2 linked regions of the Notamacropus eugenii genome follow. The protein of the gene in region 2 binds, or shares a complex with, the protein of the main gene of each other region. Links are inferred from orthologs where the notes say so. Each region holds a gene or a part of one and is shown on either strand. Other genes may lie near its edges.

The links. Proteins that work in one complex are often made in the same cells at the same time.
Region 1: STRN3 (region 2) and STK24 share a complex: the UniProt entries of both Homo sapiens proteins name them as parts of the core of STRIPAK complex. The link is inferred for Notamacropus eugenii from reciprocal best matches to the Homo sapiens genes STRN3 and STK24.

The regions. Positions count from the first base shown.
Region 1 is NC_092877.1:228,121,678-228,129,503, reverse strand, and holds the start of STK24 (serine/threonine-protein kinase 24), read right to left. Parts: upstream 3,002-7,826; 5' UTR 2,969-3,001; coding exon 2,903-2,968; intron 1-2,902. UniProt on the Homo sapiens protein: Serine/threonine-protein kinase that acts on both serine and threonine residues and promotes apoptosis in response to stress stimuli and caspase activation.
Region 2 is NC_092878.1:47,716,123-47,724,065, forward strand, and holds the start of STRN3 (striatin-3), read right to left. Parts: upstream 3,026-7,943; 5' UTR 2,817-3,025; coding exon 2,535-2,816; intron 2,418-2,534; exon of another isoform or gene 2,294-2,417; intron 1-2,293. UniProt on the Homo sapiens protein: Calmodulin-binding scaffolding protein which is the center of the striatin-interacting phosphatase and kinase (STRIPAK) complexes.

The DNA of each region.
Region 1 (7,826 bases), on a different chromosome or scaffold from region 2:
GCTTCCTAAAAAGCATAATTCGGGTGCCACTTCCCATTCAAGGATTTTCCTGGTCCTCCCTCCACCCATTCAGCCCCCAAATATTAGTGTTTTCAATCTCGTGTAACTGCTCTGTACTACTTCATTTTGGGGGTACTTACTTAACCATGCACATGTTGTACTGTCATAGAACCTAAGTTCTTTAAGGGTAGAAACTGCTTCATTTTTGTCTTTGTATCACAGTAGGTACTAAATAAATACGGTTGAACTAAATTGCTAAGTTTTATCTGATTCTACTTCTGGAACTTTTTTTTTACATCCACTTCCTAGTCACTCTGAACACCACCATGATTAAGGTACTCGATACTTCTCACCTGGACTAATGGAGCAGCCTTTCAACTGTTCTGTCTCCCAGTAGGGAAATCTCCCCTCTCCAAATCCCATCTTCTGCTGTCAAAATCATCTTCAAAATTCCAAGGTCAGAATCATCCTCCCCACTCCCCTGATTCAAAGACTTTCATGTCTCCTCGTTAAACATACTCAAACTCCTTACACTAACATGCAACCTAACTCTTTAGCATTATTTAATAATGACAGCTTCCATTTATAGAGAGATTTAAGGTTTATAATGCTTTCTCTACAGTCGCTCACTGGATACTAACAAGCTTGTTAAGTAGGAAATATGACTATCACTCCACTTTACAATGAGAAAACTGAAGCTGAGAGAGGCTAAGTGATTTTTTTCATGGCTACAAAGCTCCTTAATGTCCAAGTAACACAGGTTTCTCTGCTTCCAATGTCGGGACTCTTTCCACTACCCTACACTTATTTCACATTATTGACCTTAACGCACTCTATGTTCCGGCCAAACTGGATTACTGGCTGTTCTCCAATAGCATTCTTGAATTCTACAACCTTTGTAGTTAACAAAGGGGCTGGCTTAACGGAATAGAACCTGCATCTATCCCCTATTCCTACAGTGGTTCATTTGCATATGTCTGCCTTTCTTTTCTCCCTAAGATCTAGCTCAGATGCCACTTCCTTCAAAAAAATCTTACTGATTTCCTCAGAAAGTAGCAATTACCAGAATCTTCTGACCTCTCCAATGCATTTATCACAGCCTATATAACGGTAATAAAGTACAGCTCATAGCTGTGATATAGTTTAGTATAGCTACACTTAGTTCTTTGTGTATTTGGCTCTAACCCTCAAAGAGTTTACAATCTAAAAGAAAGTTATGTCCCTTTTGCCCTATCATTGTATCCCACAGTACAATGATCACAGTAGACACTTAGTATTTTAATTGCATTTTTAAAAGAAATATTGCATAGAGATATGTTGCAAATAAATTGGAGTGTTTAGTATTGCACACTTTTCAAATTTCAGGTTTAGACCATGGGTAATTCTGGACCAAAATGAATTAATATAAGAATAACCTACTCCTCTTCCTTTTACCTATAGTTTATACCAAAACCTTACACCCAAAGTCTAGTCAGAGGATAGAGATGGGGGGGAAGAAGAGAGTCCTCATAGGTAGTATAGAGGATTGTAGACTAGCCTGGGTAATGGCAAGTTGCCAGCTACTCCTTTAATTTAACCATCTACTTCCCCAGACTATTAAAAAAAAATTAGCTCTCCTTAATGAAGCTTCTAAGGAGTTGTTGATTCAATTGGGGGAAAAAGTTGATGGTGGGAAACTAAAGGGGCCAACTATGAAGAGAAAACATTTTACTATTTTCTTCCCAAAATAGAGTAAGAAGTATCAACAAATTCTAAGGCACACAGATGATGCCTTCATATCACACTGGCAACCCTAAACTCACTAGGAACATGGCAAAATTGGGATAACTTTCCTGTCAAGACATTTTTTTCAAGTCTTTTTTTTCCAAAAGCCCAAAACAAATTTTTTCACTATACAGTTACCAAGAAAAGTATACTTGTTTGCTCTTAAGACACAAGGCAAGAAATTTTTTTTTCCACTTTAAAAAAATACTTAACCAATGTATCCCTCTTAAGCAGTTGCTGATACTGGATACCCAAATGATTCCCACAATTTTATACTGACTTAGAAGCCCCAATGTATACAAGTCTCTAAGAAGTTATTTCCTATTACAATCCACTTTGTGCAAACAAAACCCTAGTATCTAGCACTTAATACATAAATGGGCCACTTTTACCACTTATCTAATTCCTAAGTATCTGAGAAAATTGGTTCGGAGATGGTCTGGTTTCTGACACTGCCACAGAGAAACCAGTCAACACGAAATGCCTCTTGATCAATTTTATTACAAGATGCCATTCTTGTTTCACTGGTTAGGTAACATTCAATGCCACCTTTCAAAATTAAATCAAATATACAAGAGACTGATTTCTTTTTTTACTACAGAGTTTTACCAACATTTTTTAAAAGCCACTTTTAATTATTTATTTAGTTGCAACAGCATAATTACTTTATTTCATTGAATCATGAGTTTCAAAGCCCATTTCACAACATCCACTATCACCACCTTCACTTTAATATTTCTAAGAGCACATAGCTAAAACATAACTGAAAATGCAGCTGCCATCCTCAATTGCACGTACAAGTTTATAAAAATCTGAAATTCCTAAAACGAAAGCATCTCTCATGAGATGAGGCTTTTAATTTCCTTTAAAAAAAAACTTTGAAGAATGCCATTTACTCAATTCAACAAAAATTTACTGTGCACCTTAATACGCAAGGCACAGTTCTTAGAAATGGTGACAGAAGTGACAGTTATACACCTTAATGTTCTCAAAGTGTTTTTCTCACAAGTACCAAGAGAAATAAATAGCAAACATCATTTTTATTCTGATTTGACAGATAAAGAAACTGAGACCCAAAGAATTTAAATGACTTACTCAGCTATTAAGTATCAAAATTAAAGTTTAAACTCAGATTTACCATTCGCAAAATCAGGTCTCTTTCTTCTACCAAGAGGAGTTTTGTTTTGGTTTTTTTTTTTGCCATTTGGCAGTCCGGTGAAACCTAAAGAAGCCTTGTCAGAAAAATGTTTTTAAATGAAAAAAAAAAGAATCCAACAGCATAGAATTACAAAGGAAATAAATTATATTAAAATTGTTGTCAAAATATTTTTTATAACAAGTTGACATCCTCCTGACCTAAGGCCTAGGCCTTCCCATAGCAAACTCACAACGTAATAAGATTAAGTTCATTACACAAATAACCTAAAGCATAAGGGAAAAAATGTTAAGCCCCTAAGAAAGGTACAGAGTGCCATGGGGGTTGTTCTCTAGCCAGATGAAAGATTATTGACCAGAAGTCATCAAATTGCTTAGAACAGGGATGAATCCCAAAAGACTGGTCACCAAGATTATTTACGTAAACCTGTAAAGCCATGTTGGTTAATTTTAAGAAAAAATTACACCATGTACATATTACTTTGATATAGTAAAAAAACAAAGATATTTTGTGTCTATATGTGGAGAGCGGTGATGTAGATTTTATATCCTAATAATTCTGAAGCTATTTAAAATAGCATCAACTTATAAAGGTATGAGGACACTATAAAGGGCGTCCCAAAAGTCTTGGTACAGTTTGAAACTGCAGTAAGATTTTGGAAAACACTGTATGTCAAAAGGCCAAAAAAATGTTCACAACCAGACAAAAACTGCTCCAAAAAACGTACTTTTTGGTCACGATGCTGGAAAGTATCGACATAAAGTTCGGAGGGGTAGCTAAGCGATACCCCATGAAAACAGGAAGTCAAACTAAAAAAAAAAAATATGGTGTCCTGGAATCTGCTGAGGGGCGTCCGAGGCGAGGAGGGGAGGCGAGTAACATTGTATCCACGGCAGGGATCGCCTCCTGCCTCCTCTCTCCTCTCCGGGGTCTTGTGGAAGCGGATTTGTCCCAGAGGGTCCCCTTGGGCTTCCCTCCCCCCGTGGCTCCACAACAAGCTCCTCCAAGTTGGATACTGGAAAAGCTCTGCCTGCAAAGCTGGTTTTAAAAAGCACCCCCCGCCCCCCGGCACCCCGCCTTCCCGGGCTCCTGGCCCGGCCCGCCGCACCAGTCCGGACCTGCTCGGCTCCGCTTTCTCCCTCCCCCTCCGCCCTCTGCCCAGGGGCTGCCCCAAGGGGGCTTCTCCAACCTCTACCCTCATTTCCCCCCTTCGGCCTAGAACACCTCGAGACCCACAGTAAAGGGGGGCATCACTCCTCCCCGGAGCCGGGAGCTTAGAGGGAAGAGGAGGAAAGCCTCGGCGGGGCAGAGTCCCTCCCTGGAGGCCGGGGCGGCCTCTCCACCCGGCCAGGGCCACGTTCACGCCCACAGCTCCCCCGCCCGCGGCGGGGAAGGTCTGCAGGACCCTCTTCTCCTCCACTTCCTCCTCCCTCCTTCCTAGAGCAGGCGGCGTGTCCGGGTGCACGGAGCCCCCGAGACCTCGCCCTCCCCGGGCCCGGGGGGCGGAGGCAGCCTCGCCGGCGCACCCCCTCCCGGAAGGGTGAGCGGAGCTGGCGGCTTGGGGGGTTCTGTTTACCGGGAGAAGTTCCTCACATTCCCACAAACTCACACAGTCACACCATCGCACCCTGGCACTGCCACAAACTCAGGCACGCACTCACGCCCGCTCCTTCCCGCACGATTCCCTCTACCACACTCTCGCACGCCCGCTCCCCGCCGCTCTCACCTGCATCCCGGGCAGGCCCGGCTGCACGGGCGAGTGAGCCATGGCTGCGCCGCCGCTCCGGACCGACCGGGCCGGGCCCCTTCCCCGCGGCGACGGCGGCGGCGGCGGGCGGATCGGACGAGGAGCAGGACGGGCGGGCGGCAGCGGCGGCCTGCCCGGCCCGGCACCCCCACGCTCGTCCCGGCCGGGGCGCCGGGGGCTCGGGGATCAGCGGCTGGTGGTGGGCCGCGCAGTCTCCATGCACGACGGCCGAGCGGCAGCGCCTCCTCCTCTTCTTCCTCCTCCTCCCGGGCAGGCAGAGGCAGAGGCAGCGGCGGCGGCGGCGGCGGCGGCGGCTCCTTCCGGACTCTCCGGGGCGGCCGCGGGACGCTCGGCGACTCCCCACGCACACCCAGCCAGGAGCCGTGTCCGCCCCGCCCAGGGCAGCAGCAGCAGCCCCCGCCCCCGCCCCAGCCTCCGCCCCCTCCTCCTCCCCCTCCCCCCGGCCGGCCCCGGGGTGTGGGATCCCCCCTCCCCGCCCGGTGTTTCCGGGAGAAGGAGGCGGCCTCCGACAGACAGCCGGCCCCGGCAAACCCGAGTCCGCAGCCGCGAGAGCTCCGCACCTTCCGGGGCCTCGGGCGGGGGCGGGGGCGGGCTCCTGGGAGGGGAGGAGTCCTCGCGGCCGCCGCCGACGCTGATTGGGCTGCGGGAGCGGACGGAGAGGGCGGGGAAGGGGCGACGCGGCGGCGGCGGGGTCAGCCTACCCCTCCCCCAAGGCCGGGGCGGGGGGAGGGCCAGGAAGTGGGGTGGCGGGGAGCGATCTCCGCGGTCTGGGGCACCAGGAACTGGGGCTGGCCGCGAGGGTTGGGCATCCAGTCCCCAGTCCTCCCCTGGCCGGAGTACCCAAGGGACGGTAACCGAAGCCGGCCAGGGGGAGGGCCCCCTCTCAGAACTCCCTCGCGTCCTCACCTTTCCCCTCCTGCTCCTCCGCTGTCACGCTGTCACTACTCGGGCTAAAAGAAGCCCTCCCGGTGGAAATCAATAGTCCTTCCCCGGCCCCTCCGAACGAGTCCTGGAGGCAGAGCGGGGGAGGGGAGGCAGCTGGAAACAATGGGGAGAGGAGCCAGTGGGTGCTCCCACGGCCCACGGACTTCCCAGCCCGGACAGAGGAGGAATGGAGGAGGGCTCTCCAGGGGACTGGAGTGCTGGAAAGTCCATGACCACGGCTTGGGAGCATTGAGCCCCGCAGGCACCCCAGCTACCGACAAATGACAAGGGACGTGGCTGGATTCCTTCGTCTCCGAGCCCCGAACCCAGGCGAACGAGTCCACCCCACGGGCGTGGGAACCAGGGAACCAAGAAAGAATAGTGAGCTCTTGCGTGTAGAGCTCTTAGCAAAGTCCAAAACGCTTTACCCTGGGCGGCTCTGCCAGGTGGTAACGCAAATATGGTATTCCTTCCCCCCTCATACAAAGATCTTTCAGTAACTTCCCTTGGTCTCAGTAGCCAGGGACGCCAGAACTTCTGACGCCAAGCCTCATGTCTGTCCTCTGCACCACACTGCCCGCTAATACTCTGATTTGGCTCCTATGTCATCCCATTCCTAATTTAACCCACGCTCAGGAGTTTCTGGGGAAGAAAGGAGGTGCTGGATATGGCATCATAGCACCTTGGTTGGAATCCCAGCTTGGGGATTTCCTACCTGTGTGATCCTGGGTCCTGAATCTGTAAAAAGAGGGAATTAAGTTACATTGTTTCTAAAATCCTTTCCACCTCTTAGGTTAGATTGTTTCTAAAATCCTTTCCACCTCTTAGGTTAGATTGTTTCTAAAATCCTTTCCGCCTTTATGATCCGTTCTTACTCGCAGTCCCACGGCCCTGAACCATTTAGCCATCTTTTTGTGTGTGAAATAGGCTCCAGCAGCCAACAGGAAAATAAGTCAAAAGAACTTTATTCCTTTCTCCCTCCCTTCCTCCATTTCTTTCCCCCTTCCTCCCTCCCTCCCTTCCTTTCAAAAGTGGAATAACCAGTAGGTCCTGAAACTTCTCTTTGGTCTCACTTTGGCTGAAACAACACTATTTACTATTCAATCAGGGGCAAAGATTTCCTTGCCTATTTCTCCATCAGCTCCTGCTGTAATATCTCCCTTAGAGTGCTGCACAAAGGGAAATGAGAAGTGGCTTCTCTAATGCTCTAGGTAACCTTGAAAAAGTCACAACTTTTCTGGACCTCAGTGTTTTCAGTTGTAAAATGAGGAAATTAGACTTGAGGGTCTTTTCTAGCTCAGATTCAGGTTGAAGGCCTTAACTCTTCTGTAGATTAGATTCCACTTTCTATGAAGAAACAAGATCATAGAATTAGAGCTGGAAAAGACCTCAGGGTCCATCTAATCTAACACCTTCATTTTGCCAGCAGACAACTGAAGCCCAGAAAGGTTAAATTACTCACTCAGCCTAGTTAATGGCAAAACCTCCTGATTCCAAATGCAGTGCTCTTTTTACTATATCAAGCTACGTGGTTAATCCCACAAATAATATTGAAGTCATCCCCTAATCTTGTTCTTTTCCTGATCTGTTATCTTTCAAGAATAAAAGCCAAAGGGTTTGGGAGTTCAGTGTGAAATTATGATATCAGATTCATAAATGGAGCCATAAGTTGAATTAGTAATGCTGTCCTTTTTGTGAGAAAAAAAGTCCCTTTGCTTCCATTAACAAGTATTTATGAAGCACTTACTATGTGCCAGGCACTGTGTGAGGCTCTGGAAATACAAAAAGTTAGACGATGTCTTGGGAACACATCTGCTTTTAGTCTTACATGAGACATGACATTAATTTAACCATACTAGGCAGAATATGAAAATGTAAAGCTTCCCACAAAGTACCATCAAAAATCTGATGAGAAAGAAACCATTTCTAGTTGGGTGGACTGGGATTGGCATGAAGAAAGGCAGTACCTGATTTGGACCCTGGGAGATGGGAGGGAGTTTTAAGAAATTGGGAATTGGGGGTTGGGGAAATTAAAGTATATATTCCAGGTTCAATGAATGGAGTAAATACAAATGAGCAGAGATGGAAAAGAACTGGGCTAGAACAGGAAATGGAGAGTTATACACTCTAGCTACAATGTAGACCATGAGAATGGAACTAGGTGAAATGAAGCTTAAAAATGAAAGTTGCTGCCAGATTGAGAAAGGGCATGGA
Region 2 (7,943 bases):
GCAGCAACTTTAAAAGTAATCCAGTTCAAACCCCTTATATTTTTATAGAAGTGGAAAGAAACTAAGTCTCAGAGAGGTTCTGTGACTTGGGTGGGTTCACATTAACTGTGAACTAGAATTCGAACTCAGCTTGTCTGACTACAAATCCTCTGCTCTTTGCATTGTACTAGGATTTCTGAAGTGTTAGAGGCAAATAGAGGCACACAGTGGGTGTGAGCTACACAAGAGAAACAGTTTATCAGACTTTAGAGAAAAAAAAAAAGGATTGTCACTAGCAAGAGTATGGATAACTAATAATGAGCACCCAGGATCCCAGTGACTTAGTAATGTGAAGAATTCTAGAGGATCGTCCCCAAGATAAATAGATTAGAACCATCTTTTGTGGAAGATTTTCAAGAGAACATGGACAAGACTTTCCCAGAACAGGCAAGCATAGATAGGTTGCTGCAGGGGAAAAGGAGTTTCAGAAGGAGAAAGGATAGAAAAGGCAAGGTCAAAATAGATATCATAGGATTAACATCACTAACAACTCCACTAGTAAACCAGTAACATCTCTTTTGCTTGTGTTACACTACAGTTTAAGAGTGACTGATGAAATTCTTATTTAGAAAAGTCCTAAAATACAAATCCCAGGCTTGATTCCATATAAAATACACCAGTCATCAACATTTAGACTGCATTACTGCATTTCAAAACCACCAACAAAAAAATAGGACAAATGATCATACCTAATAATTCTTCCTAATGCCGTTTCAAACCGATCAACCACACTGCACAAATTTTTATTACGTACTTATGGACAACATTATTATGGACAACACTCGTATAATGAAATAAATTCAATTTCCAACACAGATGCTTTTTAAAAACCCTTTTCTAAATGATTAGTCCACTTACATGGGTAACTGTGTAGTAGACAGTATATAACACTATCTGCAGGCCACTACAAACTTTCAGCAAGTCATTTAAAATGCACAATATACCATGTATCATTATACCCCAAAGTATAAAAGGCAGAAAGCACTGTTTACATAAAAACACTTTTTAAAAATTTCATGTTTTTAAAGTCCAATACTATAAAATAAGAGATAAAATCCACAAATGTTTAAAAAAAAAAAAGCTGACAGGAATCGAATTAATCTCATAATCTTATTTTCTAAGGCTTGATAAAGACAATTTCCAAAGCAAAATTATAATTTTCACTTTAAAAAAAAATCATTAACCTCATTTTGTGACTTCACTATTTATAAGACCAAAGGAAAAAAAAACCCTATTGACTCCAAAACGTTACTGGCCTGATTAAGACATGTGAGATGAAATCTTTTTAAATAGGTAGTTTCCCCTCCATATTATCTTTCCGTAACTACTTAGCGTGCACACGTACACCGAACTACAATATTGCACGCAACATTGTATCAAAAAAACAAAACAGGTGCAATACTTTGTAGCAGAGACGCTGTCCAACCCCACCTCCCAGTCCTAAATTTGCCTTGGAAAGGGATTAAAAATAAACACGTTGGTACTGTCCACTAAAACATTCTTTCCCAACAGATACACCAACAATAGGTTCTTAAATCCAAGCTCCTATTCTGCTGCAAAAGCCTATACACTCGTGTTCTTCCCATTTTTCAGGGTGAGGCATACTTCATTTTCCATTTCCTCCCCCAAAAGGGAGTTTGAAATATGCAAATAACTGTTCTTTATTCCAGCCCGATTTAAGTCCAATCTGCCCTTTCCTCTGTTTCCTAACACCAAGCAGCAGACAGAAGGAAGTGACTGCTTGGGACTCAGGGATAAGTGAAGCAAACTTAAGAATTATTCATCATCCGAGAGTTCAAGAGTTGGCCCGAAGTTGGGGCACGTTAGGGACCCAAAGGGAGAGGGGGGAGGGGACACCACCTAGGTGACCGGGCCCCCCAAGCCAAGTTCGGCCGCGCGCAGAGCAAACTTCAGATCCTTTTCGGAGGGAGCGGGGATGCTCCGGGGAGGGCAGCTGTCAAAGGGCAGGTGGGGGGCGGGGGGAGGACCTGCTGGGAGGAGGAGAAAAGGGGAGGAGGAAGAGTCCGGCACGATCCGGGCCGGGGTGTCTGACCCGAGGGGGGGAAGGGCTGAGGGCAGCCGTCGCGCGCGCGTCCCGCCGCCAGCCTCCCTCCCCCCACCCCCGGGGGTTCGGCGGAGGGATCGTCCCGGGGCCACGGCTCCCCAGGTCGGGCCGGCGCCGCCGCAGCCGCCGGAGAAGCCCCGGCGGACGCCATACTAGAAACCAAAATGGCTGCCCCGAGGAAGCCCGCATCGCGCAGCCAGTGAGGGCCGCCGAGAAGGCTTCCCGCCGCGGGAGGGAGGAGGGGGAGGGGACCCCTGCCGGGACCTGCCGCCGCCGCCGCCGCCGCCGCTCCTCCTCGGCCCGGGCCCCCAAGGTACGTCTCGCCCAGCCGGTGCCCTCGGGCCCGGGATCCCCGCGCGGGCCCCACCCCCTCCACCCTCCCGTCGAGGTCCCGCCGTCCTCCCCACCCCGGGGTCCCGCGACCGGCTACCTGCAGTTCGGCCCGCTCCACTTCCCAGTGCGCCCGCTCCATCTCGAAGCGCGCCCACTCGTGCTGGATGTAGTGCAGGATGCCCGGGATCGTGTACTGCTGCGGCCGGGACAGCTCCGGGCCCGCCGAGGGGCCCGCGCCCTCCGCCGCCGCCGGCTGAGCCGCGCCGCCGCCGACTCCCGGCTGCAGGTTCATGTTGACCCCCGGCCCCTGCTGCTGCTGCCGAGGGGCTGCCATCCCCGGGCCGCCGCCGCCGCCGCCGCCTCCCGGGAGCTCATCCATTGTGTGAGGGGCCCCGGCCGGGGCGCGGGGGGAAACGCGGACGGCCGGGGGCGGGGGGGAAGGAGGAGGAAGGTGGCCCCGCGCGGGCGGCTGGGCGGCGGCCCGCGGGGAGAGGGGCGGGGAGGGGGTCGTTGCTAAGTGTCTGCCGCGGGTCAGAGCAGGGAGCTGCCGGCCGCCGCCATTACAGTCCCTCCTCCATCTGCCCGTCTCACTCACTCACTGGAGGGAGGGGGGGCGGAGGGGAGGGGGAAAGGAGGGTAACGTGGGGGGACGGGGGAGGGAAAGGGGTAGTCGTACAGCCGTCGCCCCCGCGCGGCATGCTGGGTAAGCGACGCTGGTGCCGCTGCCGCAAATCTTATAGCCAAATAGAGTCGGGCTCCACCGTTGCGCAAGCGCACTGAGGAAGGGAGGGGCCAAGACGCGAGGTGGGAGGAGCCGTGGGGGCGTCCCCCTCCCCCGCCCACAGCAGCTCGGCTCCCGGGCTGGGCTGCCCGGGCTGGGCTGGCTGGGCTGCCCGGGCTGGACTCGGTGGCTCCTCTTCTGACTTAATCTGGACCGCAGGACTTTCCTCTTTGCTACCTTCCCGAGTAAGCTCGTCCCGCCCGGCTGTATCCCCGCACCCAGCGCCGCGGGACGAGCGGGGAGGCCGCCGCCAGGGCCGGATTGGAGCCGGTTCTGCTGTTCCGGCGCCGCATTCCTCGCATTTCTTTGGCATTCCTTGCGTGGTTCCCGCCGCCCCTCCGCGTCTGTCTGTCTGTCACTCCCTCTTCCTCGGTTCTTGGCCCGTGCCGGCCTCTTCTCCGTTCTGGTAGTAACTCAGGCTCCGCGGCTGACCCGGAGCCCGCTTTGGTTCTTCCCACGCTGGACTTCGGCCGGACCGCGGCTCCGGCTCTGTGGGGGAGGGCCACACTTTGCTGCGGTCTGGTCTGGAAGAGCGTGCTGAGGGTGACCGGCCCGTGTGCGGCCCGTGGGAGGGGGGAAGTTTCCCTTTCTCCTTCCCTCTTCGCCTGGGGTGCCCAGGACGGCGTCGGACGTGCCCTCAGCGCTGCCCCCTGCCCTCGCTGGCACTGCTTCCCAGACTGGGCTGCGGACGTCGGGGCGGGGAGGGGGCCGCGCTTCTCCCCCGGGCTGCGAAGACCTGTTCCGTTAAATACGGCGGATAAGGTTGTTCCTGGGGTTGTAGCTTCCATGGGAGAGTTCCCTTCCAACCACCTCCCTAGAGTCTCTTTGCCTCTTTTGTATCCCCATCACCTGGCATAAGGTTTATCAGTCCCCATTTTAAAATAGGATTTCAGACTGGAAGAGACCTCAGGTCACGCAGTCCCAAAGCTTCCGTTTTACAGATGTACAAACTGAGGCCCACAAGGCCTGACTTGTCCATAGTTACGCATAGTAAATAGCGAAGGTCCGTTTGGGCTTAATCCCAAGTTGGCTTGCTCTGAATCCAGTGCTTCTTTCCAACTTCCTCAGGCTTCCTGTTCCTCATTTTTGTGTCCCTTCCTTTCTTCTCCAGCCACACCCTAGCCAAAATCTATTTTATGGGTCTCCCCAAGTAACTGGCTTACTATCTCTGATAAATTTATTAAAGTAAATGTTTGATATTGCAATGACTTCTTTACTGTGTTAGCCCCTGAAGGATAATTTGCTTGTGTAAAGAAATCTGTAAATTTTGGGAATGAATTTCTAAAAGTAAGAATTTCAGGTACTTTTCAAGGCTTGTATGATCTCAGATTGTGTAACCTTTTTAAATTTCCCCTCCCAACTGTTCTCTGGGAAATTAAATGTACTTTGCCCCGTATCCTTGAAATTTGCTTATATTTAAGTGCTTTGCCAATTTTCTGCAGCGTGGAGACAAGTAATTTGTTAACGTGAATTTGAAGACTAGAACAGAATCTCTGATATGCTTGTTTTGCTTGGAGTACTGCATTTAGTTTTATGGCTACATCATCAAATGGACCTTGACCACATTTTTTCTTGTTCAAAGGGGGATAAACAAAATGGTACAGGGCAGCACACCATATCAGGTAAAGAAAAAATGATCGAGTGGATAAAGGTCTTAAGAGCAGCTATGTGTCACAGTGAATAGAGCCCAGGGCCTTGGAATAAGGAAGACTCATCTTCCTGAGTTCAGATCTGGGCTCAGACACTTACTAGCTGGGTGTTCCTGAGCAAGTCACTTAACCTTGTTTGCCTCAGTTTATTCATCTATAAAACGAGGTGGAGAAGGAAATGGCAAACCACGCCAGTGCCTTTGCCAGGAAAACATCAAATGGGATCACAGAGAGTCCAACCTCAATGAAAAACAAGTCATCAACGAAAGTCTTCCCTTCTCCAGAATGTTCTCTGACCCTGCTTTCCCTTTGCTGCTTTCAATCTGTTACGGGCTGGGAAACCAGATAACCATTATTTTTAGAAGTGTCCACAAATCTAGAGTAAATAATCTTTTTGTGAGAATTAGAGTACTTCTCCTTTGAGTTTAAGTGCCTTCCAAAAAAGAATGGATTAAAGAATGAAGGGTGTTTAGTCTGGAAGATGAAAAGAAACATGAGAGAGAGGAAGAGGCATAAAACACAGTGTTAGGTGCATATCTAAGGATACAAAGACAGAAACAAAATTCTCCTTTCCTGGGGTGGGTGGAATAAGTCATATACATCTATAAATACAACATTAGTTTTGGGGGTAAAGGAGAGATCTCAAAAAAAGTGCTCTAGGAATAACTGAGAAGAGATGGAGCATTTTTAGCTTGAGGTTGTTGGGAGTGTAATTCATGGAAGGAGAGGGTGACACCTAAAATGAGTCTTGAACCAAGACTGGGATCTTGAGAGGGACAGCTGAAGGGGGAATGCCTTCCCAGGAGGATAATTTATGCAAAATCATAAAGGCCGAAGATGGCATATCATCTGGGGAATAGTTAGGAGCCCAGTTTGATTGGTGCATAGAATACAGTCAGTGAGTAAACACTGGGAATAGAAAGACAGGTAAAAGACATTCTCTGCTCTTGAGGAGCTCGCAATCCAGTGAGGGAGGTTGTTGTGTTTGTCCTTCGTTCTCAAAGAGGACCATGACATCAAGATGATGACATGACTTGCAGCTGACTTTGATTTGAGTGAGGAAGGGTTACACAAGGTCACCAAACTCACTTTCTTCTGAGCCAACTGGAGATGACCCAGGATGCAATGTGAGACCCTGGCCCTTTCAGGCTTAGGTCTTATCACATTCTCACTTTGAGTGAGATTCACCTGTTCAATGAATAGGCTTCTTTATGTTACTCAAGGGATGACTGATTTAATTTTTAAAAAAAAAATCAAGCTGGGAGGGGAAGACCCTCCGGGTTCCTAGGTAAAAGAGAAACAATTACTATTTAGTTATTACATTCGCTTTATACTAGGTGGGTAGAGACTTGTCTAGTCTACGAGCTCCAGAGTGAATTGAATTTAAGGCTTGATCTTTAAGCAAGAAATGTAGCCATAAACCAAAAGAAAAAAAAGCAACTTTTGGCCATGGAGTGTACCTTCCCCTAGGTAGAACACCAGAGGAGAGGAAAGGAGAGGAGCTGTTATTCACAGGTTGTGTTTGTCTTCCTTCTCGAAGAGGACCATGATATTAAGATGATGACATGACTTGCAGTTGACTTTGATTTGAATGAGGGAGGGCTGTGCAAAATCAACAACCTCTCTTTCTTCTCCTGAGCCATCTGGTTACAGTGGCCTGATATTTATCAGGACAACTGGAGATGGCCCAGGATGCAAACAGACAAGCTACATGCGGGATAAATTGGAAATAATCAATAGAAAACACTTATCTTAAGAGAGATTAGGAAAGGCTTCCTGTAGAAAGTAAGATTGTAGCTGTGACTTACTAGGTTATTAAATGCCAACCTAAGGAGTTTGTATTTTATTCTAGAGGAAACAAGGAACCAATAAATCATTAAACATATTTTAAGCACCTATTATATGCCAGGCACTGTGCTAAGAGCTGGAGATAGAAAAAAGGGCAAAAGACAGTCCTTATCCATAAAGGGCTTGCAATTTAATGGGGGAGACAACAAGCAAACAAATATATGCAAAGCGATTTGTGTATAGAATAAACAGGAAATAATAAAGAGAGGGAAGACACGGGAATTAAGAGAGAGTAGGGAAGGGTTCCTATAAAAGGTAGGATTTTAGTTAGGACTTAAAGAAGGCAAGGGAGGTGAGCAGAGCAGAGGAGGGAGAACATTTAAAGCATGGGGGGACAGTCAGAGATAATACCCAGGACTGAGAGATGCAGTGTCTTGTTCACCAGGGGAGTTGCTTGTTCAGATTTATGCATAAGAAAGTGGAGATGTAGACCTGGAGTTCTGTAGAGAAAACAGGTCTGGATATAGAGATGTCAGAGTCATCAGTGTAGAGTAATAATTAAACTTATGGGAGCCAGTGAGATCACAAAGGGGAAAAGTTTAAAGATAAAATAAAGAGGGCCTAGGACAAAGCATTGGAGGAGATGCTTAGGGCATAGAAGAAGTTTAACTAGCAAAGGTCAGATTAGTAGAAAAAGAACCAGAAAAGAGCAGTGTTTCAGAAGCCAAGAGAAAAGACACTTTCCTGAAGGGAATGGTCAACATTGTTAGAAACTGCAAAAAGATCAAGGAGGGAGTTAATTTAGAAATGACCCATCAAGTCTAGCCACCAGATCATTGGCTACTTTGGAGAACAAGTAGTAAGAGGAGGCAGCCAGCGTTCATTACGTTTACTAGTTGTTTAGCAGTAAAAGGAAGGAGAGAAAGACAGAATAATTTGAGGGAGTAGCAGGTTTAAAGAAAGGTGTTTGCTTTTTTTAAGTGAGGAGACTAGAGCTTGTTTATGTGGCATCATTGAAGAAGACAGTAGATAGGAAGACATTGAAGATGAGAGTGATGAGCAAGCTTCTAAAGAAGACAGGAGCAAACTAAATCAAAAGCACAAATAGATACACAGAAACAAATGAGCACAGTCACTTAGTAGTGTTGGATAAACCCAAAGATACCAGCTATTTGGGAAGGAACTTGCTATTTGAGAAAACTTGAGAAAATTGGAAAGCAGTCTGGCAGAAACTAGGACCAACAACTAGACCAGCAACTCACACCACATAACAAGATAATTTCCAAAT